7 linked regions of the Nothobranchius furzeri genome follow. The protein of the gene in region 1 purifies or fractionates together with the protein of each later gene. This does not show direct contact. Links are inferred from orthologs where the notes say so. Each region holds a gene or a part of one and is shown in the gene's direction. Other genes may lie near its edges.

Evidence for each region.
Region 2: the proteins of prpf4 (region 1) and eftud2 purify together in Homo sapiens (affinity purification with mass spectrometry; 4 studies listed by BioGRID and IntAct, with this or other methods). This does not show direct contact. The link is inferred for Nothobranchius furzeri from reciprocal best matches to the Homo sapiens genes PRPF4 and EFTUD2.
Region 3: the proteins of prpf4 (region 1) and tut1 purify together in Homo sapiens (co-immunoprecipitation; 3 studies listed by BioGRID and IntAct, counting the BioPlex papers as one, with this or other methods). This does not show direct contact. The link is inferred for Nothobranchius furzeri from reciprocal best matches to the Homo sapiens genes PRPF4 and TUT1.
Region 4: the proteins of prpf4 (region 1) and snu13b purify together in Homo sapiens (affinity purification with mass spectrometry; 4 studies listed by BioGRID and IntAct, counting the BioPlex papers as one, with this or other methods). This does not show direct contact. The link is inferred for Nothobranchius furzeri from reciprocal best matches to the Homo sapiens genes PRPF4 and SNU13.
Region 5: the proteins of prpf4 (region 1) and prpf4bb purify together in Homo sapiens (affinity purification with mass spectrometry; 3 studies listed by BioGRID and IntAct, with this or other methods). This does not show direct contact. The link is inferred for Nothobranchius furzeri from reciprocal best matches to the Homo sapiens genes PRPF4 and PRP4K.
Region 6: the proteins of prpf4 (region 1) and ddx23 purify together in Homo sapiens (affinity purification with mass spectrometry; 4 studies listed by BioGRID and IntAct, counting the BioPlex papers as one, with this or other methods). This does not show direct contact. The link is inferred for Nothobranchius furzeri from reciprocal best matches to the Homo sapiens genes PRPF4 and DDX23.
Region 7: the proteins of prpf4 (region 1) and zgpat purify together in Homo sapiens (affinity purification with mass spectrometry; 4 studies listed by BioGRID and IntAct, counting the BioPlex papers as one, with this or other methods). This does not show direct contact. The link is inferred for Nothobranchius furzeri from reciprocal best matches to the Homo sapiens genes PRPF4 and ZGPAT.

What each region holds. Positions count from the first base shown.
Region 1 is NC_091746.1:69,563,499-69,567,732, reverse strand, and holds the start of prpf4 (U4/U6 small nuclear ribonucleoprotein Prp4), read left to right. Parts: upstream 1-1,434; 5' UTR 1,435-1,572; intron 1,573-4,234. UniProt on the Homo sapiens protein: Plays a role in pre-mRNA splicing as component of the U4/U6-U5 tri-snRNP complex that is involved in spliceosome assembly, and as component of the precatalytic spliceosome (spliceosome B complex).
Region 2 is NC_091745.1:13,626,204-13,629,703, reverse strand, and holds part of eftud2 (116 kDa U5 small nuclear ribonucleoprotein component), read left to right. Parts: coding exon 1-80; intron 81-193; coding exon 194-312; intron 313-439; coding exon 440-534; intron 535-619; coding exon 620-773; intron 774-3,500. UniProt on the Homo sapiens protein: Required for pre-mRNA splicing as component of the spliceosome, including pre-catalytic, catalytic and post-catalytic spliceosomal complexes. Component of the U5 snRNP and the U4/U6-U5 tri-snRNP complex, a building block of the spliceosome.
Region 3 is NC_091756.1:31,152,475-31,156,473, reverse strand, and holds the start of tut1 (speckle targeted PIP5K1A-regulated poly(A) polymerase), read left to right. Parts: upstream 1-1,199; 5' UTR 1,200-1,330; coding exon 1,331-1,406; intron 1,407-3,213; coding exon 3,214-3,404; intron 3,405-3,504; coding exon 3,505-3,711; intron 3,712-3,910; coding exon 3,911-3,999. Other genes in the region: mki67 (proliferation marker protein Ki-67), read left to right, coding at 1-463. UniProt on the Homo sapiens protein: Poly(A) polymerase that creates the 3'-poly(A) tail of specific pre-mRNAs. Localizes to nuclear speckles together with PIP5K1A and mediates polyadenylation of a select set of mRNAs, such as HMOX1.
Region 4 is NC_091756.1:29,119,202-29,123,210, forward strand, and holds the start of snu13b (NHP2-like protein 1), read left to right. Parts: upstream 1-1,209; 5' UTR 1,210-1,387; coding exon 1,388-1,390; intron 1,391-1,552; coding exon 1,553-1,673; intron 1,674-4,009. Other genes in the region: uqcrc2b (cytochrome b-c1 complex subunit 2, mitochondrial), read right to left, coding at 459-491.
Region 5 is NC_091747.1:44,848,220-44,852,178, forward strand, and holds the start of prpf4bb (pre-mRNA processing factor 4Bb), read left to right. Parts: upstream 1-1,159; 5' UTR 1,160-1,233; coding exon 1,234-1,292; intron 1,293-2,170; coding exon 2,171-2,249; intron 2,250-2,678; coding exon 2,679-3,805; intron 3,806-3,959. UniProt on the Homo sapiens protein: Serine/threonine kinase involved in spliceosomal assembly as well as mitosis and signaling regulation. Connects chromatin mediated regulation of transcription and pre-mRNA splicing.
Region 6 is NC_091755.1:54,897,176-54,901,342, forward strand, and holds the start of ddx23 (probable ATP-dependent RNA helicase DDX23), read left to right. Parts: upstream 1-1,367; 5' UTR 1,368-1,550; intron 1,551-2,941; coding exon 2,942-3,099; intron 3,100-3,234; coding exon 3,235-3,345; intron 3,346-3,508; coding exon 3,509-3,599; intron 3,600-4,167. UniProt on the Homo sapiens protein: Involved in pre-mRNA splicing and its phosphorylated form (by SRPK2) is required for spliceosomal B complex formation.
Region 7 is NC_091755.1:51,593,943-51,596,110, reverse strand, and holds the end of zgpat (zinc finger CCCH-type with G patch domain-containing protein), read left to right. Parts: intron 1-565; coding exon 566-980; intron 981-1,242; coding exon 1,243-1,381; 3' UTR 1,382-1,668; downstream 1,669-2,168. UniProt on the Homo sapiens protein: Transcription repressor that specifically binds the 5'-GGAG[GA]A[GA]A-3' consensus sequence. Represses transcription by recruiting the chromatin multiprotein complex NuRD to target promoters.

The sequences.
Region 1 (4,234 bases):
TAAAGTAAAAGCAAACGAAACAGTCGAACAAGCATTAAATGAGTGGTGCATTCAAAAGCACGATAAAACGTCAAACATAGTTACAGGGAAGAGAAAAGCTTCAACAGGTGGAGGGTTCAGCTGGTAATGACTTCCACGGAGAGGGGTTAGGGGGCAGACGTCCCACGGTGACAGGACGGGCAGGGGGACTGTGCCGGTTGATGGCAACTGGGGAGTGTGTAGAAACCTTTATGAGATGGGAGAGGTACGAGGGGCAAGGTTGTGAGTGGCCTTATATGTGATGAGCAAGATTTTGTAGTCAGCCCTGAATTTTATCAGCAGCTCAGAACTACATGATGGACAGCAGCAGCTCAGGAGTAGAGCGGGTTGTCCACTAACCCGAAGGTGGCAATTTCGATCCCAGCTTCAGACAGAGAATGCTGCCGTGGTGTCCTTGGGCAAGACCTTTACCTGCTGGTGGTGGTCGGAGGGACCGGTGGCACCAGTGCTTGACAGCCTTGGCCGTCAGTGTGCCCCAGGGCAGCTGTAGCTACATCGTAGCTCATCTCCACCAGCGTGTGAATGGATGAATGATGCACTGTAGTGTAAGGCGCTTTGGAGTCCTCAGGCTCTGAAAGGTGCTACACAAGCGTGGGTCGTTTATCATTCATTTACATGTTTCACTGATCACGCTTCTCACTGCTCAGGTCACTAACAAGCCCTCCAGATGCTTTATCATCTCACTGCAAAGAAAGCATCCAGTAATTCGTCCTAATGTTGGTTCTGCCACTGCTGACAAACCTCCACCTTCACCAGCAGGTGGCACCACCGTGCATTGTGTAGGACCTACTGATAATTCAAGTTAGAAAAATTCACCCAACATCAGAAAACCAGTTTTTCTTAACCTAAAAGGTTTACCAAGCCGGGCACAAGAGTATCGATCAGCTGTGACGATTTGGCGCCACTAGGTTTAGGGTCCTACTGTGGAGGAGATTAAAAATTCACCTAATTAAAGACACATTTATCAAAAAATGTTAGGAGAGCAGGGCAAGTTGATTTATGTGGCAGACCTACAAGAGTTAGCCTGTAGGGGGGGAAAACCGCGTCTAACCCCGCAAGGAAGCCCCGCATGGATGGGGAAAACACGCAACTCTATGAGTTTCGAACCTGCAACCTTCCGGTTAAGGGGGGGCTCTGGGCTCCTGTGCCACCGTCACCCCATCAACGTAAAAGCGTCGCAAGCAGAGGTTTTAAATAACGCAGGTGTTGCGGGTTGACTCCACACAGCGTTATGTTCCAGAACATCCGAAGTTGTTGAGGCGGAAAAGTCGAATCTGTGAACATCATGTCAACTTTACTTCCGTCCACCCGAACCCGTTTGTGTGACGAACCCAGGTGACTTTACCTGACGCACCGAGACTCTCCTTCGTCCTGATCGTCAGCTGTTTGGTTATCTGGCTAACAGGTAGATTGGTTAATTACCCATAAGTCCACGGATCCACCAACCGGAAAAAGAAGCTTTGACCCGGAAGCCAACAGTTTCATATCCGGGTTGCAGTGCTAGGAGACGTTGCGGCTTCGTCTGTTTTTACGGTAAGTTTGAACAACAAAACAAACGAAGCTTTAAAACAGAGAAACACGCTTATGGTCCAAACAGCAGGTGCGCGTGCTCGGCTAGACACGCGTGTCCGTGAGCCGTTAGCTCCGAGTCACGTGCGAACATCAGAACGCTTCTATGGTTTCGTCGTGCGGTCCGTGTGTGTTCTGCACAGCTACGGTTACAGCACCAGTTCACTACTGGTGTGGGTTGCAGCACCAGTTCACTACTGGTGTGGGTTGCAGCACCAGTTCACTACTAACTCACTCATAACATCTATGATAGCTTCCAGGCAGTCAGGTTTTCGTAGAGCTCGTTCTACTGAAACCAGGGCCGTGCAGAGACCTTTGACGGGGCGGGGCTCAAAGTAAAAAAAAAAAAAAAAAAAGGGGGCACTTTTAGATCAATCCAACAAGTTAAAAAAATCTGATAATGAGACCCTTGGGTTCAAACAACATAATAAAAATTTATCAATTAGTGTTAATGTTAGTTAATAAATAATGAACTAACCCTAACCCACCATTGCGTGGGCGATGGTGGCACAGGAGTTAAGATCTCGCCCCGTAATCGGAAGGTTGCAGGTTCGAGCCCCGCTCAGTCTGTCGCTGTCGTTGTGTCCTTGGGCAAGACACTTAACCCACGTTGCCTGCTGGTGGTGGTCGGAGGGACCGGTGGCGCCTGTGCTCAGCAGCCTCGCCTCCGTCAGTGCGCCCCAGGGCAGCTGTGGCTACATCGTAGCTCATCCCCACCAGTGTGTGAATGTGTGTGTGAATGGGTGAATGACTGATTGTGTTGTAAAGCGCCTTGGGGGGTTGCAGGACTCAGAAGGCGCTATATCAAATACAGGCCATTTACCATTAATAGTTTGTCACTGGAGAAACAAGTTATTCAGTTCTTTGGAAGTAAGGGCATTTCTATTGACAGCACCACTATAGCTGCATGCTACACAATTCCTAAAAAAACTGGAAAAAAAAAACAAAACAATAATTCAGTTTGTGAGCAGGAAACATAAAGTTGACTTGTTAAAGGTCGTAAAGAAGCTTAAGGGCACAGGAGTGTATGTAAATGAGCACCTGACAAAGAAGAATGCAGAGATTGCCTGGCAAGCAAGAATTCTGAAGAAGGAGAGGAAAATACAGGATACCTGGATAAGGAACTGTAAAGTAATGATCAAGCTTACTGGACCACCAGAACAGGCTATGGTGGTGAGCATCAAGAGCCTCTCTGAACTGGAAAAACTCAAATGATGAGAAGAAGATGGTATTTAATTCATGGACACAGCAGACTACAAGAAATCAGGAAATAATAGATTTTTTTTTAGGTTTGTCAGTGATGTAGATCATAAAATCTAAAAAAAATATCAAATCTGATAGATAATGGAGTTGACTCAGAAATTAATGGTTGCAGCAACACCCACCTGGACTGTGAATATTATATTGTAGAGGACTTCAAAGTGAGTATGTGTGGATTTTCATTAATACACTTTAACAGCAGAAGTCTCTACAACAATTTATCTAAGATCTCAGATTACCTAAATGAGTTCAAGGAGAAACTTACAGTAGTTGCAATTTCAGATACCTGGATCAAAGATGGAAAAGAGTTATTGAATAAACTGGATGGCTATGAAATGTTTACTCAGAGCAGACAAAACAAAGAGGGGGTGGGGTAGCACTTTTTGTTAGGACTGGTTTTGATTGTACGAAACTAACAAATATGACCTTCATTGTTGAGAATTTGATGGAGTGTCTGACAATTGAAATTAAGTGTAAAAAATCCAGAAACATCATTATAAGTTGTATGTATCGTAGTCCTGGTTCTTCTATAGATCAGTTTAATGAACGTATTGAAACATTATTTGGGCAATGTAGGAACAAAATTGCTTTAATTTGTGGTGATTATAATACTGATATGTTTAAATCAGATGATAATACTAAAATAGCTGAATTTATCAATTTAATGTTTAGTTTAGGTTTCCTTCCGTTGATACTGAGACCAAGCAGGATAACAGCCGTAGTATTACACCGATTGATAATATATTCATAAATCAATCTGACGTCAAGACAAAGAATGGCCTTTTTTAACTGATATTACTGATCATTTACTGGTGTTTACTGTGGTGGAAATGATGAGAAGTGATGAAACATCTCTGGAAAATGTAAATTATACCACAACTAGAAAAAAAACTTCTGTTGCAATTGAAGCTCTGAAATATGAACTGTTTTGCTCTGATTGGACTGATGTTTATGTTGATGATGTTAATAATTCTTATACAGGTGCTGGCCAGTAAATTAGAATATCATCAAAAGGTTGAAAATATTTCAGTAATTCCATTCAAAACGTGAAACTTGTACATTATATTCATGCAATGCACACAGACCAATGTATTTCCGATGTTTATTACGTTTAATTTTGATATTTATAGGTGACAACCAATGAAAACATCAAATCTGGTATCTCAGAAAATTAGAATATTCTAAAGGCCAATGAAAAAATGTTTGTTTCTCTAATGTTGGCCAACTGAAAAGAATGAACATGAAAAGAATGTGCATGTATAGCACTCAATACTTAGTCGGGGCTCCTTTTGCCTCAATAACTGCAGTAATGCGGCGTGGCATGGACTCGATCAGTCTGTGGCACTGCTCAGGTGTTATGAGAGCC
Region 2 (3,500 bases), on another chromosome or scaffold:
GGCGCTGCTGGGGTCTGTTAAAGACAGCATCGTTCAGGGCTTCCAGTGGGGCACCAGGGAGGGGCCTCTTTGTGACGAACGTAAGAACCACGCTGAGTTTAGCTGTTGGATGTCAGAATGCTTGTTGATATGGACATACGTAGCTTAATAAATATAAAATGACAGAGTCTTGTGTTTTTTCCTCGCTCTTCAGCCATTAGAAATGTGAAGTTTAAGATCTTGGATGCTGTGATCGCTCAGGAGCCTCTCCACAGAGGAGGAGGTCAGGTTATCCCTACGGCCAGGAGGGTTGTTTACTCTGCTTTCCTCATGGTGAGGCTTGGTTTGATCCATACCTTCTAAATGCTTGCTAGCTTTGATTGAATCATAAATGTGTTCATTAGAACATCGTAATGCTTCTCCGGGTTTTAGTGCTTTAGAGTCTGCTTTGTTCTCCCAGGCCACGCCGAGGCTGATGGAGCCGTATTATTTCGTAGAGGTCCAGGCTCCGGCTGATTGTGTGTCAGCGGTCTACACGGTGCTGGCTCGGAGGAGGTTTGTCTCACGAGGCAAAAACAACAATTCTGACAATTATTTGTTAAAGTTTTAAAAAACTTCTCGTGTGTTTTCCGTCTGTCAGAGGTCACGTCACCCAGGATGCACCTATTCCCGGCTCTCCACTCTACACAATCAAAGCTTTTATCCCAGCCATCGACTCTTTTGGCTTTGAGACTGACCTTCGTACGCACACTCAGGGTCAGGCCTTTGCTCTGTCTGTCTTCCACCACTGGCAGGTGAGATTAAACACGCAACCTGCTTTCTGCGTGTTATCGCTCTGAATTTGATTTCATCAGATTTAGCTGCGATTAAAATTCAAATAGCAGCAGAAATGTGTGGCCTACCAATAAAGTGTGCACCTGAGTGTGACAGTCACTTTGCACCATGAAAAAAATCAATCAATAAATACTTTATTAATCCCAGAGGGAAATTAGAGCGGTAAACAATGTTTTGATCTCTCTGCTGTTGAACTCGTGCGTTTGTGGCAGCTCGTGCTGCGTCGTGGTCGACCTCATGCATGTCTGCCACTCTGGGCAAACTGCTTCTGATCCAAAGGACGGTGGAGTGTTGAGTCATTACTTTTAAAGCGTTATGAGGCTGTTTGTGTCTGCCTGACGTGTGTTTGTGTCTGCACTCTGTTGAGCTGTGTCAGTGAAAATGAACTCCACTTAGGCTAGATTAATATTTCAGCTTAGTGTCTTTAAGCCACGAGCTACGGAAAATATTCCCACGGCACAAATTTAAAGTGATATCGTCTTAACCGTTTTATCCCCTTGAGGTGAAAATAAATGCATCTAACTAGACATTTTAATTATTCACTATATGAATGCTAATCATATGGAGTCGACCAAAATTAATACAACTCTTGACACCTTTGGTTGGTTTGTGTTCAGATACTTTCTACCTGGACTGCACGATATTGGGAAAACCTGCGATATTCGATAATGGTGATTGATATTGCAATGACGATATTACTTGCTATAAATAAAAACTTAACTCGGGAACAAAAATAAAGCAAAGAAATAAAATAAATCATAAAAATGAGAAATGCAAAAGATGTGAGGAAAGGGAAAAGAAAATGATCAAGAAAAGCAGAATCAGCAGAACAAAGCTAACTCAGGTGTTTGCTAACCATTAAAATTAAGTTCCGTCCACCTCGGGGGCGGGAATCTAACCTATGAGAACCCACCCGATTGGCTAAATGGGTGAAGAGCTCTATTTGATTTGTTAAACATCATTCTTCCGTTTGACTGACAGAAGCTTGATGTGAAGCAAACATTTGAGCTGACCATTCATTGCGATATTTTGGTTCTTTGCGATACGCATATTGCTCATGCTGATATCGCGATAACGATATATTTACGATATATTGTGCAGTCCTACTTTCTACAGAATCTTTTTCAAGCTTTTACCAATTCAATACATTTTTAATACATCAGCTTTTCACTACTGGAATATTCCCAGACATAGTTTTATGTAAGCAGCGATATTTAGTTTTTGTTGCTGTGGGGGCCGATTGTTAAGTAATATTGTCAGAATTGCTGGATTTGATCACGTTTAGATTTGGATAATATTAAAATTAAACCAGATAGAAAAATATAAAGATGCTAATCTAAACAAGCAAAGTTAAACGTAAATATTTAAACTGAAAACTAAATGTGTGGAGCTGAATATAAATGTTAAAATATAAAATGTGGTTATCGTATTTGGGTAACGTGCAAATTTAGACTCGCGTGGATGGAAAGTGGCCGACCAAAGAAAAAAAATTCTCTATATTATGGATCATTGTTCCCGTCATGGTTCTGCCGGCGCTTTGGTAAATGAGCCACGGTTGAACTGACGGACAACGTTTTACTGTCGAGGAAGCTTTAGAGACCTTAGACGGGGGTCTCTTCACCCCGCCTTTCGATTGGCCACTTCTATTTTACATCAGTCTGAGTTAGCACGTTAGCTCAATATTTCATAGTTTTTAAGAAAGCTAACTTACCGGAATATCTAAACTTTAACATTAGTGTGGCAAGGTGGACAAACGAGGGCCCAGGCGGGATTTGATCCCCCAGACTCCCGGGTGAGAGTCATACGCTCTAACCAGTCAGCCAAAGGGACATCCCCTTGGCCAAGTAGCCAGGGCGCATGATCTATCGGGACATTGTGACAGGACACTCACACTGTCACATCAGCATTGTAACTTTAAAAATCGACATTTCTACTTGATGTCTGTTTATTTTAGGAGTTCTGTTTGGAGTTGTGTTTAAACGTTTTCAAATAACTTTGTAATTTCCTAAATGAATGCGACGCAAACGTGAGTTCAGGATTCCCACCCCATTTTAATAAGATTTATTTAGTATTTCTTTGCGATTACTTTTACACTTAGTGCCTCATCAATCACCGTTATCATCCGTAACTGTAATTACTGTCCCAACACGACGGATTCAGCTGCTCAGGGTATCCAGAATAGCTCAGAGGTTGGTGTAGTGCACCATTTGGCCACATTTCCTTAATAGTTAGATTTAAATACTCAATGTTATTATGTAATTAGTAGCTCTCACGCTTTGGTTGATTTGGCTGGACCTACTTCACGTACACGCCCACCACCCTGCTAGCAGGTCTCATCTTTCATCTGCGGCTAAATGCAGAACGGGACGATTAATATATGACGCGTTTTGTGAAGGTCATCCTGCAAACTGCCTGGGGTAATGGCTTTAGTGGATCGTTTTAAAGCTCAACCTGCCGACGTTGCATTGTTGCTGTGTTGGTCACATTTGATGGTGTGACGGTGCTTTCACATTTGCACATCTCTCCATCACGCTGATGAACGTTCTGCTGACTCCGTACCAACAGGACAGGCGTTCAGCTGAATCTCATAAAATGAAAATATCCACTCGGCTGGTTGAAAAGTTTCATGTGTTATATGAGAACAAATGTGGTTTCTGTTTGCATCACCTATCTGATCCCCCTTTAAG
Region 3 (3,999 bases), on another chromosome or scaffold:
AGCAGAGGCCCACGTTGAATCAGCAGTACAGGCATCAGAACCTCCTCCAGCACTCTTCAAACCCACAAAAAGGGGGGGACGAGCTGCAGCCAAGGTCCCAGAAGCTGAGGTCACGGTTACCAACGAGCCGGTAAAACCGGCTGGTGAGGAAAATGCAAACACAAAGAAATCTGTGAGGTTTGATTCAGGTCTGCAAGTCCTGGAAATTCCAAGAGAACCCCCTGCAAAGGCAGTTAGAGGTAAAAGGGCAAAACCTGCAAACACAACAAGCAAAAACACATCAAAGGAAACCAACAAACCTGAAGAGGAGGATCTCTCAGAGAAAATTGAAGCTGAACCTGCAAAGAGAGGTAGACGAGGAGCGAAGGCTGCTGACACGGCGGCAGCAAAACCCAGGGAAGAGAGTGTCGCTGAAGCCGAGCCGCAACCCAGGACCAGACGAGGGAGACAGGCAAAGAAATAACCTGTAAATTGTATTAATCATTATTACTGTTTTCCTTTATTCGTTTCTTTTTATTAATTGGATTTAGATTTTATTAATTGGATTTAGATTTTAACACCTAGCTGATTTTACTGTGAATAAAGCCAGTTTGTCTTTTTGTCTCAACTCATCAGGGATCTTAGGCATTTGTTGTTGGGGGAGGGGTTATGCTTTTGCAAGTTGTATGTTACTCAATACAAGTTCAGCAAATAATTTTATGGTGGGAAAAATAAAATTTTTTACAATGGAAAAACATGGTTTCTTTATTATTAATAAACAAATACTCTTTTCTTGAGCATTTTCACACATAAAATGATTAAACTTTTCATTTGTAAGATTAAAATCAAGGCTTCTATTTGACCAGAAAATTAATCCATGCAAGTGACTGATCCTTCTATGTAAAACTAGTTTACATAGTTTAACTTTTTTAATTTAACTTTAGTTTAAGGGCTGAAATCTCTTGGGAGATTTGTTTAATTTAAACAGCTGAATTTGTCAGCAAACGTACAAATCAAGAGTAATATCTGAATCCGTTTTACACCAGAAATATAACATGCTTCATTCTAGTGTAGTGTTGACCACATGATATGTTTAAAGTAATTAGCTAGCTGGCTAAAAGAAAATGCAAAAGTAGCTAAATAGATTTAAAGTATGCAACATAATCAAACGGAACTGGAAGGTTGTGAGGTTAAAAAAAAAACTCAACCCGGACACATATTAGAGACGGACAGAACACAAACAACTAGCCAACGCTGGAGGGAGATTTAATTTAAAGCGCAGCGGTGTCCTCAAAGCTAAACTGTAGACGGTTGTTTGGTGTAGTATCTGGTTAAACTGTTTAGTATCACCATGTCATCAGACAGTGATATTCAAACGACGCCGAGAGGGTTTTTCTGCGCATTGTGTAACACCAACTTACCAAACAGTAAGTAAGCTAGCTCAGCCACGCGCGCGAGTGAGCTGCCTGGTTGTTAGGAATGTTGTTTAATAAAGGTTTTTCTTGGTTCGTTTAACAATAAAACAACAACCTGCGCTGAGATGGAAGTAAAAAAAACATTAACTCAACTGTTTTGTCTTTCTAAAATCAAAACAATAAATTTATTTGTCCAACATTACATACGGGACGACCAAATGTGGTTGTTATCCAAATGCCTTTAACTGGAGTGAATAATAACACACCATTGATCATCTTAAAGTTTAGGATTATTCTTGAAAAAAAAAAAATTTTCACAGCACTGCAGAAAAGGCAAAAAGAGTCGATTCTAATTCAATCGATACCTTTAAATCCAAGTGAATCTGTACTATACCGTCAAATGCAAGTAATTATATTAGACCAGATAGTACCATACCAGTTATTTTGTAACTGTATTCAGCACAGCATGAGAGGACCAAAGTGCCTTACTGAAATGTCACAAAAGACTGAATAAAAACGTTCAATAAAATCAAGCAGAAACAACAAGGCATACCAGCAATCAAACAGGTCAAGACAGTAAAAACAAGCATAAAAAAAGTTGTCAGACTTCAGTATTTTACATTGAACATTGCATCTCCACTTAGAAGTCTCTATGGACAAAAGCATCTGTCAAATGCATTCACATTCACACCATAGGCTCTGGATGTTGAGACATCAATAAAAGTTTCTTTATTTTCCCTTTTCCTTGGTGTGGACTGAGATTCAGTTCTAAATAGTATGAAACATAACTTTAAGATAGCTTTAGCCTTAGTCTTTAAGAAAACCATACACAGTTTGTAAAGTGAAGTAAACGACACAAATCTGCAACACTTGTGCTAAAAGTGGCATCTTTCCTTGGTATGAAAAGGACAAGAGAATGATGCTCATTATGTTCCAAAAGAGAAAATAGACCCAAATATTGAAAACAAATCTGCGGAGCTGAACAAAAACTAAGTGAGGCTTCTTCTTATTCATTTTCTAAATGTCACCATCTTGAGCTGTAAAATGAGACACTGCTAAGGCCTGCTGAATTGGTTAGGGATTGGTCTCGTGGTTTGTTAAGTCCCAGCAGTACACGACTAAAGAAACTACGAACTTAACATTTCTGAAGGATGACAGAATGGCATCAGTCTCCAGAAAAATCCATTTAAAGATCAAGTCACCCCCTACCAGAGTATTACTCCACTCCCACTTCCTGTTTGAAAAATGCAACAAATGCTGTTGCCTAGCAGACCGAGAGGGTGCAGCCGCTAACAAATACACACACACATAGGCTCACAACAACATTGTGACATCATATGGTACCAGCTAACATTCTAGGAAACCTCTTAGCCAAGAGCGATGGCAGATTTAAATTCAAGTGTAGAGCAGAGTTTTTACCTGACAACGGCACAACACTGACAATTTAAGGCAGAAAATTAAAAATTTAACAAGTGCAAAACTATTGACTACATGTGTCTGCAGCACGATTAGACACACATTTATTTAGTTTCTCATTTAAAAAAGGTTTATTTTTGGGTGACTTGCTCTTTAAATCCAGAAACAGATCCATTTGTTTAGTGTAAGATAAATCTGAACATCTGTAACGGTGGCTGGTAAAACGTTCAGACTGTTCTTTACATTTTTACTTACGGAGATCTCAACTTGTGTGTTTAAAATTTAATCTGCAAGAAATAGTTCTTTAGAATAAACAAAAACTTGATTAAACACAGTGAATCAGGATGTAAAGTGGTAGAAATCCCTCTGATTTACTAAATACTTTGATGTTGTTGCCGACCAGTGCCGAGTGTCGATCAGCATGTGAAGGGGCGAAAGCATCAGACCCTGACGACTGTACGAGACACCAGGAAGAACCAGGAGGAGCACAGTGTGTTTGTCAGTGGCATCAAGCCTGAAATCTCTCAGACGGACATCTCCGAATACTTCCAGCAGTTTGGGGCCGTCACAGATGTTATCATGGACAAAGGCAAGGTGGGACGGACTTCCTATTAGATGAAGCCTTCTCATGAAAGAGGCCGGGTGTTATAATCATGGGCAGAGTGACTGATGGTGTGTGTGTTTGTGCTCACAGGGTGTTTTTGCCATCGTGCAGTTCAGTGAAACGGAGAGCATCCAGGCAGCTTTGTCCTGTGTAGAGCACCGCATGAAGGGGCTGAAGCTGCGGGTCAAGCCTCGAGAAAAGAAGGAATTTAAGTTAATTCCCAAGAAGAAGAACAACCCCCAGAACCTCCAGCAGGTCCTAGATCGTCTCAGACCCGACTTGTGTCAGCTGGGATCTGTGAGCATCCGTACTAGAACTGATTTGACATAATCAGAAATGAACCGTGCAGCTGGGCAACATATTTATTACAGATTATTTAAAGAAAATACAGCATGATAATCCTCATGGTTCATGTGTCGTACAGCTCAGTAAATCAAGTGTTTCTATTTTTCTTTTTGAGATGATTGAACTAAAACAGTTTTTCTCGCTCCTTCAGGTGGATGCCCAGATGAAGTTCATAGTTGAGCGATTTCAGCTGGGAGAAAATGAAAAGAAGACTCGAGACTTGCTGGTTCAGCTCCTTCA
Region 4 (4,009 bases), on another chromosome or scaffold:
TACAAAGATTGAAGGTTTCTTTCCAAATGAAAATCACTTGATAATTTTAGTCTTCATTCACCGATCCAGATATGTATTTGAGTGAGATACACACACCTAGAGTTAAGCCTTCTGAAAAATGCTAAAGCTACTACGTACCCTCTGGTATGCTAACTAGCCTAGCTAGCTGCTAGTTGTTAATTATCTTACATTTAAACAATTGAGGAGTCAGTCATTAGAGCCTAACACAGTGGAGATTAATTCATGATCATATACATACATGTCTAGAAAAATAGTTATTCTTGGTCACATCAAGTTTTCAGATTAAACAGTCATGTCAAGCTTAGCCGGCTGCTTGTTCCAAGACAAGACAGGTATGGTTTAAAACCACCCAAAGACAGTTAGTGACAGCGACTGGATGGGATGGGAACACTGATCCCGTCACGCAAACTTTCAGAACAAATAAAGTCAGCTCTCACCGTTAACTGACTGATTCCCCGAATCCCCTTCATCTCTCCTGTCTCCTTCAGCCAGGACAACGATACAATATGGCTGAATGGAAAGTGCCCTACCCAGAATGCATAGCGCGTTCATCTCTAGCTTGCATAAACCGCGCGCCCTCTTCAGACCAACAAATAAACTGCATCAACAATTTTTCCAGATCTAAAATCACAAAAAACAAAGAGTTCGAGAACAGCAAATGGGAAATATGAATCAAATTGATTGTGTGTGGAAAATAATTGGCAAATTAAATCTGATTAGATCGTGACACTGATTAATATTTTGCATTTACATAATTAGTAATTCTATAATTAACTTTCCATCATCATCATCATCATCATCATCATCATCATCATCATCATCATCATCATCATCATCATCTTTATAAAGCATTTTCCCACAACTAATAGTCACAGTCCACAATTTAGAAAAAAAAACGACTTCATGAAAGCCCACAAACGCCTCAGGTTTAAAACGAAAACGGGTTCAAAGATAAAAAGTCTAAACCTTCTTTCATATTTTTGTTTTTTTTATTAAAGGTTTATAAGATATCCCCTCGACATTTACAGTGTCATAAAGCAATACACACCATGATACACACTCGAAAGCTGTTTTAAAATAACTTTATTTGAACTTTAGAAAGTATTTTTCAGTTTGTTCATGTTGTTTGTTAATAAAGTTTGTTTTGAAAAAATTACATTCCCTGTGCGCATGTGCAGCCTGACGACCATCACACACGTGGGGTCAACGTTTGGATCTAGTGCATGCTGCAGATAATAGTCGTTTTGTGGCGCTATTAAAACTCGAATGAAACAAGAATAATTCACGTTTCGATTGTATTTATATTCTGAAGACAAATCAAATAGTCCTCCGTGAAGCATTTCGCCGAGAGGGCCGGATTACAAAAATGGTGAGCTTAGTGTAAGAGCTAATAGGCTAACAGACGGGCTTGCATGTAGCATGAATAAGAACACACGGTTGTGCGCTTTCTTAAAATAAGATAATGTGATTTTTGTTAAAGCTGGTTTGTTCTGTTGAAGCTTATTTTGAACCTTCTCATTTTTGTGACCAGAGTGAGCCCCAAGTGAACCCAAAGGCCTACCCTCTGGCCGACGCCACCCTGACCAAAACCATCCTGGACCTGGTGCAGCAAGCCTCCAACTACAAGCAGCTGAGGAAGGGAGCTAACGAAGGTGTGGAAACTATTCGGCTATTTTACTCAACATTTATAACAGAATTTGTAACGAAACAAACGTAGAAGGTGAAAATTTTGCTTTTACATGTAATTATTGGATCATAGGCCGTGTTCTCACTGCTGACTCAATGGTCGAACCAGAATTTCTTTCTCAGATGTGACCCACTTCTGCTTTTTATGACCCACATCTGCTTTTAATGACGTTCACAACACATATTCGTCATAATTATCAAGTTAGACCTGGGTCCCTTTCATATGTAATACTTTAAATCTGAATTTTACATCGACATGTGACAGATGTTCCTATCCTGCGGCAGAGGAAGCAGGAAGCTCTTCTTTACATGTGCGTGTCTGCAGCGCTGTACACTTGCCTCACTGGAGGCTGATGGCAGCTGCATTATCAAAAATTAGAATGGCGCATTAAGACCAATCCATCTATTTTCTTCAGTTTATCCGGGGTCGTGTCACGGCAGCTGCAGTCTACGTCGAGAGGCTTATACTTCCCTCTCCTCAGCCACTTGGGCCAGCTCCTCCCGCAGAATCCCAAGGTCTCCCCTGGTCAGCCATGACATATACAGTGCCTTAACATGCACACTAGAGAACCAAAGTATTGCCCTAAAAAGACTTCTGTAGTTTTTTAAAATGCATATAACGCGTTAGTCTGGCTGAAAGGGAATTGGTTCTAATCTAGTTCAAATGATAATGATAAATGACCCGCACTTGTGTAGCGCCTCTCAGAGTAAGGACTCCAAAGCGCTTTACTCTACAGTGTGTAATTCATCCATTAACACACACATTCACACACTGATGGTGATTAGCTACGATGTAGCCGCAGCTGCCCTGGGTGCACTGTCAGAGGCGAGGCACCCAGATAATACAGTAGCAAGGAAGCGCTGTTGAACGACGGGCGCTTTGTCCCTGTTAACCTATGCTCTCAGTCACATCAGCTGGGAAGCGCCACAAAGGCTCGCTCCGTGCAGCGATCATTTTGGCGTGAGCTCTATTTTTACGTGAGCCGTGAGTGAACAATTCTGGCAGGAAGTAAACTAAAGCAGAAGAGGCAGGCTGGTAAATTTAACAAAAAAAAAATTCACAATAAAACACTGCAATTGATAAAAGTGATCATGTTTGTGTATCTAAATAGACTAGAGAGATGAAAAGGAACAAACACACACCTGCAGAAAAACGTAGTGTTACCATAATTTAAAATTCAGTGTTTACAGCAAAAGATGGATTTAATAAATGTGAATACAAACAAATGCACAGCAGCAGAATCAGCACAGTGTCCAATATCAACAAGCAAGGCAAACTGGTTACACACACACACACACACAGAGCAAGGGCATGTTTAGAAAACAGTAGGCGTGAGCAGAAGTGCTCGTTGAAAATTCTCGCCTGATGTGACCAGAAGAGGAGCGGAGAGCGCACAAATTTTGTGAGCAATCCACTCCGCGGTTCTTCGCAGCTGGTGTGTTCTGGGCATAAGTCTCCTCCCAATTGGACGTGCTTCTCTCAATGTGGAGGAGCAGCGGATCTACTCCGAGCCCCTCCTGTATGACCAAGCTTCTCACCCTATCTCTAAGGGAGAGCCCAGACACCTAGTGGAAAAAACTCATTTTGGCTGCTTGTATCCACAATCTCATTCTTTGGGTCAATACCCAAAGCTGGTGACCATAGGTGAGGGTAGGAACGTAAATCGAAAGCTTCGCCTTATGGCTCAGCTCTCTTCTCACCATGGCAGACGGTACAATGTCCGCATCTCTGCAGACTAGGGCTGGGCAATAAATCGAAAATGTATCGTTATCAAATTTTCTGACTTATCGAGATAATTTTCCCATGTCAAGATGTGTGTAGGTTGTCAACGTTCATGTCCCTTTAAGAAGCTGTACCACCTCGTAAAAGTATGACTCAATGTAAAACATGTGACAGCCCCATCTAGTGGACAACTTTTGTTTCTGCGCATTCCTGTAGTTATCGTCCGTTTATCGTTATCGAGGTGAAATCCTCATCGTGATATTGATTTTAGGCCATATTGCCCAGCCCTACTGCAGATGCATCACCAATCCACATGTCGACCTCATGCTCACTCGTGAACAAGACCCAGAGACACTTAAACTCCTGTACTTGAGAGAGGACCTCATCCCTGACCCGGAGAAGGCATTCTACCCTCTTCCGACTCAAGACCATGGTCGCTGACATAGAGGAGCTGATTCTTATCCCAGCTGCTTCAAACTCTGCTGCAGACTGCTCCAGTGAAAGCTGGACATCACGTTCTGATGAAACTAACAGGACCACATCATCTGCAAAAAACGGAGACTCAATCCTTCGGCCACC
Region 5 (3,959 bases), on another chromosome or scaffold:
CTTTACTTTCTTACCACTGTGAATAAGCAGGCAAAGGTGTCTCACAATATCACAATTTACTGCTTCAAATAAAACTGTCAAGAGGGGACAATAACACCCCATTAATGCTTCTGCATCCTAGGAAGTCACATGACTTCAAAAAACACACAAAAAGCATCATCTGTGCAGCTTTTTGCACTGAACCGAGCAGAGAGAGAGAGAGAGAGAGAGAGAGAGAGAGAGAGAGAGAGAGAGAGAGAGAGAGAGAGAGAAGAGAGAGAGAGAGAGAGAGAGAGAGACTCATATGATCGTTTTATGAATGTTTGAAATCTTGAATATAATACTAATTTAAGTTACTGTCTGTAATGTCTGTGTATCAGTGTTATTATCAAATCATAATGCAAATTAAAATTATTTAATATAATGCAATAAAGTGAAGTTATTGTGCATTTGTCCATAAAGTTACAATGTTTTTTTTATCAAAGTGCATCAACAAATACTGTGAAAACATTCAAAGATTTGTTTTTACGAAGCAGAAAATTGATCTAAACCAATAATCTTTGGAATATTTATGTTATGCATACCAATGCTCGACATAAAGAATCAAACCAGATGGTTATCCCACAGTGTCGTAAACTCAATAGCCTCTCGTAGTTGTTTTTATGTCCTTTTGTTGCCTTTTCTGTCATTTTTTTTCTAAGATTCCGCCCCCAGATTCATGCTGTGCTTGTTGGGTGGTTAGCATCATCTTACAAACAAAAACTTAGCTACGACTCACGCAGGATGCGGTCACAGGAGGAAATCTGTAATGGACACATGTAAGCCAGAAGCCACAGCGTAGCTGTAATCAACTGATGTGTCTTATAGAAGGTCAAAGCGGCAGGGGAAAAAATTAATGCTGAGCACAGGGTGAAGTGTGCTGTATGTGTGTCATTACCCCATCAGCACCTTTTCTAATATGTTATATTCATTAATACTTTATTGAAATCAATATTTTTACAGGTTTTTAGCTATAAAATGCACTCGCTAGTTGCCTCGTATGTTTAAAATATACGTTATAGTATAAATTATTAGTAGATCAATGTAGGGTGTGATTTCAAGTTAGAAAATTACGCCTCCTGGTGGTGCAAAATTCTTTGTGGGAAAACCAGTTTGCACAGCATCGCCCAAACACCAGGGGACGCGGTACAATCATAGCGGCAGTGCTCCCTCTAATTATTCGAAGAAGAAGAGAAGGCTTCTCAGCTGAGGAAAATGGCAGACGTTGAGCTGGACATCATGTCCAGCAGAATGAATAATGGAAACGAACACATGTAAGTTCTGTAATTCGGAGACAACTGAGGCTGGTGGCTGTGAGACTTAAATGCATTTCGGTGTCCGTTTTAAATGGAAATCGCTACATGTGCGGAGGATGAAAGAGTCGCAGTCTCACGTTGTTTCACGAGCGAGCTGAGATGCTAACGACAGGCTAACGCTTTCGGCTAAGTGTAATTTAGCTCTGCTAGCTTAAGTTTTCTTTAACGCGTAGCAAATACAGCGGCCAGGTTGTTTTGTTCATTCTAATTTGCTCATATACACAATGTACGCCTGAACACATTAGAAAAGCTTATAGTTTTATCGAGTTTGAATGTGAGTTAGCGAACAGGATATAGCCTGCTAAGTTTGCTAAAGACATTTAGCGTATCTGTGCTAATAGCCGAGCCATCAGTCTTGGCGGTTTGAGCTAACAAGTAGATCTGGCATGGCGTTAAGTGAGTGTATGATATGAATTATAGGATTTCTGTTATTAGTAACTCCTATGCTGTAAACAACTGTTAACCCCGGTTTAAAGTGAATTAAAAACATTACGTAACCTTGATCCTCATAATGTATGTGTTCTCACTGTCGAGTGGGTTAGCTTGAACTTTATTTACCTTACAGTTGTTAGATCAACAATGCTCGTGGTCCTGAATGTTCTGTTTTTGTTTGGAAAAATGCAATCAAACCAAGTTCTGCTTAATGTGGATCCAGAAAAACGTTTAACTAATGAAATTGAAGCTATTTGACCTTCTGTTAAATAGCTACTATGGCTTAAGCGTTCAATTAAATCCTTCAATCTAGAAAACATTTATTTTTCTGTAAATTACAGATAATGGTCACCACTGTCATAACCCTCTTATTATTTTTTTTTCTTTTTTTTATTCCTGAACAGAAAGCAAGATCTGGAGAGCCATGAAAGAAGTGGAAATGAAGACAGCGGGGACATATCTGAGGAAGAGGAGGAGGAAGAGGTAGGGATGAACAAGAGCAAGACCTAAAAATCACCAGTGGTGGTAATTAAGATCTTAACCATTCACTCTGATTCACTTGAGTGTTTACCGGTATCAATCAATCAGGGTTGTTTATTTGGTTATTTTAAAGTTAAGAATGGGAGAAAAAAAACATGAAACATATCTGACACATTAGTGTTTCTTATGTGGGTGGATGTTGTTTGGTGATTTGGGTGTTTTACGGTTTGAACCCATTTTTCTTCTAAGAAGTGTCGTCCTTGTTCCTTGGAGGAACGATAACATAAAAAAATGTAAAAATCCAGTATTACACAGTAATTAACTAATTTTATTATGAACACAGTAACTAAAACATTCTTTACTCTACTGATTTAAATTTACTTATAAATAATTCAGAATGACATCTAAAATATTCTTTTTTTTTTGTTCCAGGAGGAAGCTGTAAATACTGAGAAGGTCGATGAAGGGTCCAAACATCACAGCGGTAGTGGTAAACGCAAGAGGAAAAAACACAAGCATCGCAGCAAGCACAAAAAACACAAACATGTATCTGATGAAGACAAGGACCGTAAGCGAAAGCATCGTCATAAACACAGGAAACACAAACGCAAAGAGGACACCTCCCCGTCTGCTGCCGCCCTCTTTGGTTCCTCCACCCACAAGAAGGTGGAGTCGTCTCCCTCTTCTGGGAATCCCAGTCTGGATGACAGGGCCGTGCTGGAGGACCTGGAGAAACAGAGGGCCATGATTAAAGCTGAACTGGACAGTCAGCTGATGGAGGGCAAGGTTCAGTCTGGCATGGGTTTGATTCTTCAGGGCTACAACTCTGGGTCTGAAGAGGATGGAGACGCCAGGTTCAGGAATGGAGAGCAGCGTCTGAGGGGCAGCTCAGGTAAACCCATCTCTCCAAGAGGGGGGAAAAGTGGGAAATCGAGGCGAGACTCAACAGAGGTCAGTAAGTCCAGCTCCAAGCGTCGTAGCAAGTCTGCAGAGAAACCCGCCAAGGAGTCTAAGCAGGACAAAGGGACCAAAAGCAGTAAGGACGCGGGCGTTAAGGACAGAGGGCGTGGCAGGAGCAGGTCTAAGGACAAAAAACGCTCGGGCAGCACTGATCGGCCCAAGGAGAGACGGAAGTCTAGTTCTCCTTCCAACTTAAAGAACGAGAAGAAAGCCGATCGTGTTGATAAGCGTTCCTCTCCACAGCGAGATGACAGGCCAAACCAGGACAGAGCAAGTCGACGGTCCAGGTCACCAGTACGAGAACGGCCAAGCCGCTCAGATGCAGATCGGGACAAACGGGTCGCCAAGTCTCCGTCTAAGGACGCCTCGCTGGGGAAAGAGAACCGCTCCCCTCACAGACGAGGGCCTCACAGCCCTCCACGGAAACGCAGTGCTTCTCCTCGTCACCGAGACAGTCGCCATGTGTCGACTGGCGCCTCCGAGCGGACGTCAAAACAGAACCACTCTCCGTCCAGAACCAAGTCTCCCCCCAGAAGGGGCCGCAGCCGCTCACCGGACCTCAGGAGGAGGGAGTCAGACAGGCAGGACTCACCCCTCAGGTTCGTCACTCGCTGCTTCATCGTTAGGTGGTTATCTGTTTACCCACAAAGCATTTGTGTTCGGTTTAATGCCTAGGGTCAGAATACTGCTTCGTGGGACCAATCTGTGTTGAAACGAGTCGTTAAAATACAAATTAAAAAGTGAGGAAGACAC
Region 6 (4,167 bases), on another chromosome or scaffold:
AGAGACGAGATTCTCCTGCCACCAAACTCGACACACTCCACACCACGGCTGCACCTAGAAATTCTGTCCATAAAGGTAATGAACAGAACCGGTGACAAAGGGCAGCCCTGGCGGAGTCCAACCCTCACCAGGAACAGGTTCGACTTACTACCGGCTATGAGGACCAAACTCACGCTCCTCTGGTAAAGGGACTGAATGTCCCTTAACAGAAAGCCACCCACCCTATACATTTATGTGCTCCACACAAAACCTGAAAAAATACTGAAAACCTATAGGACACCTCCAATTCTTGCCTTTAATTTAAGTTATAAAATACACAGTGGGTTCATATATTAGTGTGTTTAATGTCTTTGAACAGCTTTAGAGTCAAATGTTTATGCCACAGTTCAAGGGTGTCAGAAATAACACCAAATCAAATGTTTGACTTAGTTTGTTATTTTAATTAAATCCATTTCTGAAATGTTGGAGACTGAATCAAGTTCTGTTTCATGCAGAAAATAATAAACATAAAAAATAAATCTTAAACTTACAATAATATTCACGATGTGTGTTTTATTATTGATGATCATAACACCATGGAGGCTGTGGGCTGGATTAGGATTAAAATACCCAGCTGATGGATCTCCTTCACTCACCAGCTAACTACAAACCTTCCTGTGTGACCCTCATCATGTTACCCTCATGTCTATGCTGTCTATGAAGGAGCAGAAAGGAAACTTGATCTCATGTAATGAGCCAAAGCTTCCTCCCAGTTTTTCTTTAAACTGAATTTAACATCAGTTTATCATCACACTAGACACCCGCACCAGCAGGTTAACAGCAGGCTTCTTTATTAGCACACCCTCGGGGTACATACATACATACTGTCTGTCACACAATGTGTTCCCCCGACACACACACACACACACACACACACACACACACACACACACACACACACACACACACACACACACACACACACACACACACACACACACACACACACACACACACACACACACACACACACACACACACAATTAGTACCCACTCACATGCCCTCAGTGCAGGTGGCATATGTAAAAAAATAAATTACAGAATCAATTTTAAAATGAATCTAATCAATAATGCTTTAAGAACCTTTCAGTAAAAAACAATGACAACATGAAATTTGTTCCTCAGATAGATTTGAATGAACACACCAAATCCTAGAATGTAAAAATGAAAAACTAAAAGCACACACACACACACACACACACACACACACACACACACACACACACACACACACACACACACACACACACACACACACACACACGCGCGCGCTCTTACTATTTTTGAAAAGGCACTTAGGTGTTCATGCCAAACAACCTGGGTCCTGAGAAACAGAATGCGTAGTTTGCTGGATAATGTAGTTTTTATTAATTCACCTCCACTGTCATGGGATAGTTCTTGGACTACTGCTCCCACAATGCATTGCATTCCGTGTTTGTTCTTGCGTTAGCAGTATGGCGTCTTCTTAAAGCGTATAAAATTCGCTAGTATTTTGTTGACAAGTGGATACGGTAAGATTTGAACCAAACAATTAACAAACATACAGGCTGGGTTTAATTTTCCAATCATAGCTAACTTTTACAGAATTTTAGTTTCAGTTTTGTATATTCGTGCTACTTTTTGAGGATAAACTTGCCTCTTTTCTGTTGCTAGCGGGCTAACCTGCTAGCTTTCTAAACGTACGTGCAGATGTTCACAACTGAGTCTGATGTCAACTTGATTTCTCACTTTGACTGAATAACTAAACCTTGACTGTGAAGCTTCATCTCTTCGTAAGCCCAAGGATATCTTGCTCACGATTGTAGGAGACGAATCAAACTAATCCGTAACTGTTGATAATATAATTATTGAGGGAGTGCATCAATGTAGGTTTTTGGGAATAATAATTGATGAAAAACTGTCTTGGAAACCTCATATAATGAACTTGTTTACAAAAGTAGCCAAATGTGTTGGAATTATGAAACGATGTAGCTTTGTACGTGAGCAGAAGGCTTTAATTGCGTATAAAACCAATGGGATAAAACTAATTGGATTCATTTTATTACCTTGCAAAAACGAGCTATTAGAAATCTTCATTCAACTAAATACAATGATCATTCCAATTTACTGTCTCTACATTAATTTAATCTTGAGTTACATGATTTAGTACATTTTAAATTAGCCCAAATTATGTATAAATTGTAAAAAAAATTCCCCATCAAATTTAAACTTATTTCAAGATAGAGACTCATAACTACAACTTACGAGGGAGCAATAAACTGTGTCAGCCTATAGCAAGGACAACATTGAAATCAATGTGCATCTCAGTGAGGGTTGTGAAATTGTGGAATAACTTGGCAGAGGAAATAAATAAATGCTGTACACTTGAAGCAATTTTAAAACCTATGTAAAAGAAGCGTGATGACAAGGTATAACGAGGAAAGAGAGACATTATCCCCACGATGTATGACATGAGTACAAATCTAATGGCCTAATAATTAGGGACGTGTATTCTACCTTCCCCTTATTTAAATAAATAAAAATTCATTCAAGAAATGTGAAAAGTTTTGCAGAAAATTTTTTGTGTTTTATTATTAGTGGAGGCGACCCTTGGGATCAGCTGTACTTATTGTTTCAAGAGTAAAATAGATGTGCATTTTACATCTATTTAACTTTTGACTTTCTTGTGAATTACAGGTAGAACATTTTAGTTTTTACGTTGATCTTGTTTGTTGTATCAGTCGTTAAACGTAACTTTAAAAACCCAATAAACTAAAGAAAAGATTCAGAGCTGTTGGGATTTTTGAAGTAAAAGTGAAATGGTTTTGTTATTACTTCCTGACATGAATTTTTGTCTGTAATCATGAATTATTATTGTTAAAAGGCAAATGGAAAATCGTGCCAAAACACTTGTGTTTTGCAGATGGCAGCAGAGTCCGCAGACAGGAAGGATGCAGAATCCTCAGGAACCAAAGACAGAGAGAGGAAACGCAGTCGTTCACGAGATCGAGACCGTAAAGGGTCACCTTTACGCAAACGTCATCGTTCTCGTGAACGAAACCGCTCCAAGTCTCCAGACAGGTAACGAAAATGCCAACATATAAACAGAACTCAACCACAACATTGTGGCCCGTGATACTTGCTGCTTGGCTGGAGTTGCATTTACACATCCAAGCTTGACGTTGTGTTTCTGTCTAAAATGCCTCATGATGACAGAGACCGCCGCCTGAAAGACAGAGACAAGGATCGTGACAGAGACAAAGACAGGGAGAGGAGCCGTAAGGACAGAGACAGCCATCGACGGGATAAAGATCACAAGAGATCCAGGTTTGTAAAAGGAAACCATAATGATGTTTACAAATGGTTTGATTATTATTGAAGTTTTAATTTAGCTTGATTCTGTTTTGTCCTTTTCTCTGTTAGAAATGTCAGCATCCTAGGTAGAAGTCATTTATATTGGTATAAATTTTAGTTTCTTTTTGCTTTATAGAAGCCCTTCACCAAGGTCTAAGGATGGCAAGATGAAGAAAGAGAAGGATATAAAAGCAGAGGAAGAAGAAGATGAAAAAAAGAAAGAAAAGGTATGACTCTAGTTTAATTTATGGGCTAAAATTAGTGATGCACCGATATCTGATATTAATATGACCGTTATGGCTGATAATCAATATTTGCTGATACCGATGTACTGACATTAATGCTCCTAACTTCAGCAGATTTTGTATAGAATGAAAATGATTAAAGCTGAATGTACATCATGTGCACACACCAGACACATCTACGCTTCTGAGATGATTACAATCATTGTCACATGACTTAACCGATACACATCATCCCCTCACCCTCAGAAACAGATCAACAAATGAAAACAAGGTGGAAAAAATATCGGTTGTTAATATCGGCCCAGTTTTATTTATCGGACCGATACCGATATTGATGCCGATCTACCGTGCATGCCTAGTTAAAATAACCCTTAGGCAAGAACCAAACTTTCATATAAATACAAATTTTCATATTTGTATTTTCTTTAGTTTCTTAGCTAAATTTCATAAAAGTTGAGGAGAAGTAACTGAATTTGGATACTTTTTAAATAAAATAATGGATATGATTTAGCTTGTCTGGGATATTTTCTGTTTGAGGTTTTTTACCTGT
Region 7 (2,168 bases), on another chromosome or scaffold:
GGAGTCTGGGGATCGAATCCCGATTGGACCACTTTTTTTTATATCCGCCACAGATCTCTCTGAAGAACTCACAGCATCGACGGCTTCAGCAACGCTGTGCCGCTCCGTGGATTTTCTCTTATTTGTTTTGCAAAAGCACTTCCTTTCATTTCTCCACCTCACCCACAGGTACCTCAGTTTCTGTTTCTGTGAAATTGCGCTTCCTTCATCTGCCTTGATCTACGGTCGCCATCGTCATTGGCGGAGCGCTGCAACAGCCGGCTTATGTACATGCATGAGATCCACAAGGCACTAGTTTGCATTGACCATTTATGGCAGTAAGTGGGCGTGGTGAGGACGGGATGTGACTAAAATGCAGCTGAGAAACTTTCTCGTTAGTCTCCGATTTATGAAGCAGAGATTGCGTGCAGCTGTGTGTACTCCATGTTTGATAGATCACAAACCAACTTGGCGTAAGTACATTTGTTTTTGCTGAGCTTAAGTACGGTTGTAGTAAGGATTCTACGCTATGTTTGATAAATGAGACCCCAGCTCCCTTTTTTCAAAAGCTTGTTCCATTCCACAGGTTTAGGAAAGCTGCAGGAGGGTCGAGTAGAGCCGGTGATGGCGGTGGTGCTACCGAAGGGGAAGTCTCTGGACGAGTGTGCAGAGCTAACACAGAGACGCACTCAGAACAAGGCTGCGAAAGACGGAACACAAGCTTCCCGCCCGAAACGCCGCCGGAAGCCCCGAGTTCCCGGAAAGCGGCAAACTGTGTTTGACTTTTTAAATCACAAGCTTGGAGACAAATGCACAGATCCTGCAGAAGGGGGCGCTGCTGCGCCATCGGCAGCGACGGCGACCGGGGTGGAAGCTTACAGAGCAGGAAGGAACGCCAAGAGGAGCCTGAATGTGAAGCTGTTCCAGGCTGCTGAGAGGGTTGCTCAGACTGAGAGGGAGATCCAGAAACTGAGCGAGTCACTGAGCAGGCAGACGGGCAGGTCGGTCCAGATGTGTCTCACAGCACTTTATCAGTTCTGGTCGAGTTCAGATAGCTTTTATTTCTGATCAGATGTATTTAAAGTAACATGAGAGCGGTAGGAGTTGTGTGAGAATGTAAACAGGATGTGAAAATGTGAGGTGAGATTCTTGTTTCCATAGCTACCAGAAATCCTCTTTACTTGTCACCCCTCTCGTCCTCCTCCTCCTCCTCCTCCTCCTCCTCCTCCTCCTTCATGCCGGGTTTGTTTGTGTTTTGCACAGAGATGCTTCCAGAGTTAAGCAGCTGGAGGAGCAACTGTCAGGGGCTCGCCGCCTGCTGGCCCAGCAGAAAGCACAGGAGCTCTCCATCCAGAGCGAGCACAGGAAGGCCGACACACACAAGAAGATGACCGAGTTCTGATACCCACTTTTTTATTTTAAGACTTCAGAAACAGAAAGGAGGCCTCCTGAAAATAAATGTTGTTTTCACTTCAGTTTTGTGTCCGGATCACTTCTCACCGGCACTTTTCCATCTTTTTTTCTTTCACTTTAAAAAACAAAAGCTTTCTTCTGGCAGAGTTTAAAGCTACAATAATATAAAATAGAAGTTATGAACAATTTTTCTTCACGACTAAAAGTCTTGCTGAACTTGTTGTACTTTTATTTCTAACTTACACAACTTTACAAATAAATCTGGTGCAAAAAAGACTCCGCTTCATTTATTTACTTTTCTACGTTTTCTTTTCACTTTGGCGGGAGTTCTGAGTCATGCTGGCCAGCGGCTCCTCAGGTGCTTAGTGCAGTTTACTCCCAGTATCATAGTGGTTTTAATGTCACATCTCATGTGAATTATATACATCACATCTGTGAAGCTACAACCGTAACCTCTGTTAAATTAAATTCAGAGGTGGAAAGTAACAAGTTACATTTCCTCACGTTACTGTAACTGAGTAGCTTCTTTTGTATTCCATGCTGTAGTTCTTTTTTAAAACACAGAGCAGGTAAACAAAACTGCTCTGTGTTTTAAAAAAGAACTACAGCATGGAATTAGAGATACGACACAGCAAGAACACACCTAAGAAGCTTTTTTTGTATATTTATACTTTTTAAGTCGTTTCTTGAATCTGTACTTTAACTTTAACTTGAGTACGTTTTTAAAAAAAGAATTGCAATTCGCTACATTTGAAATCATATCTGTTACTGAGTAA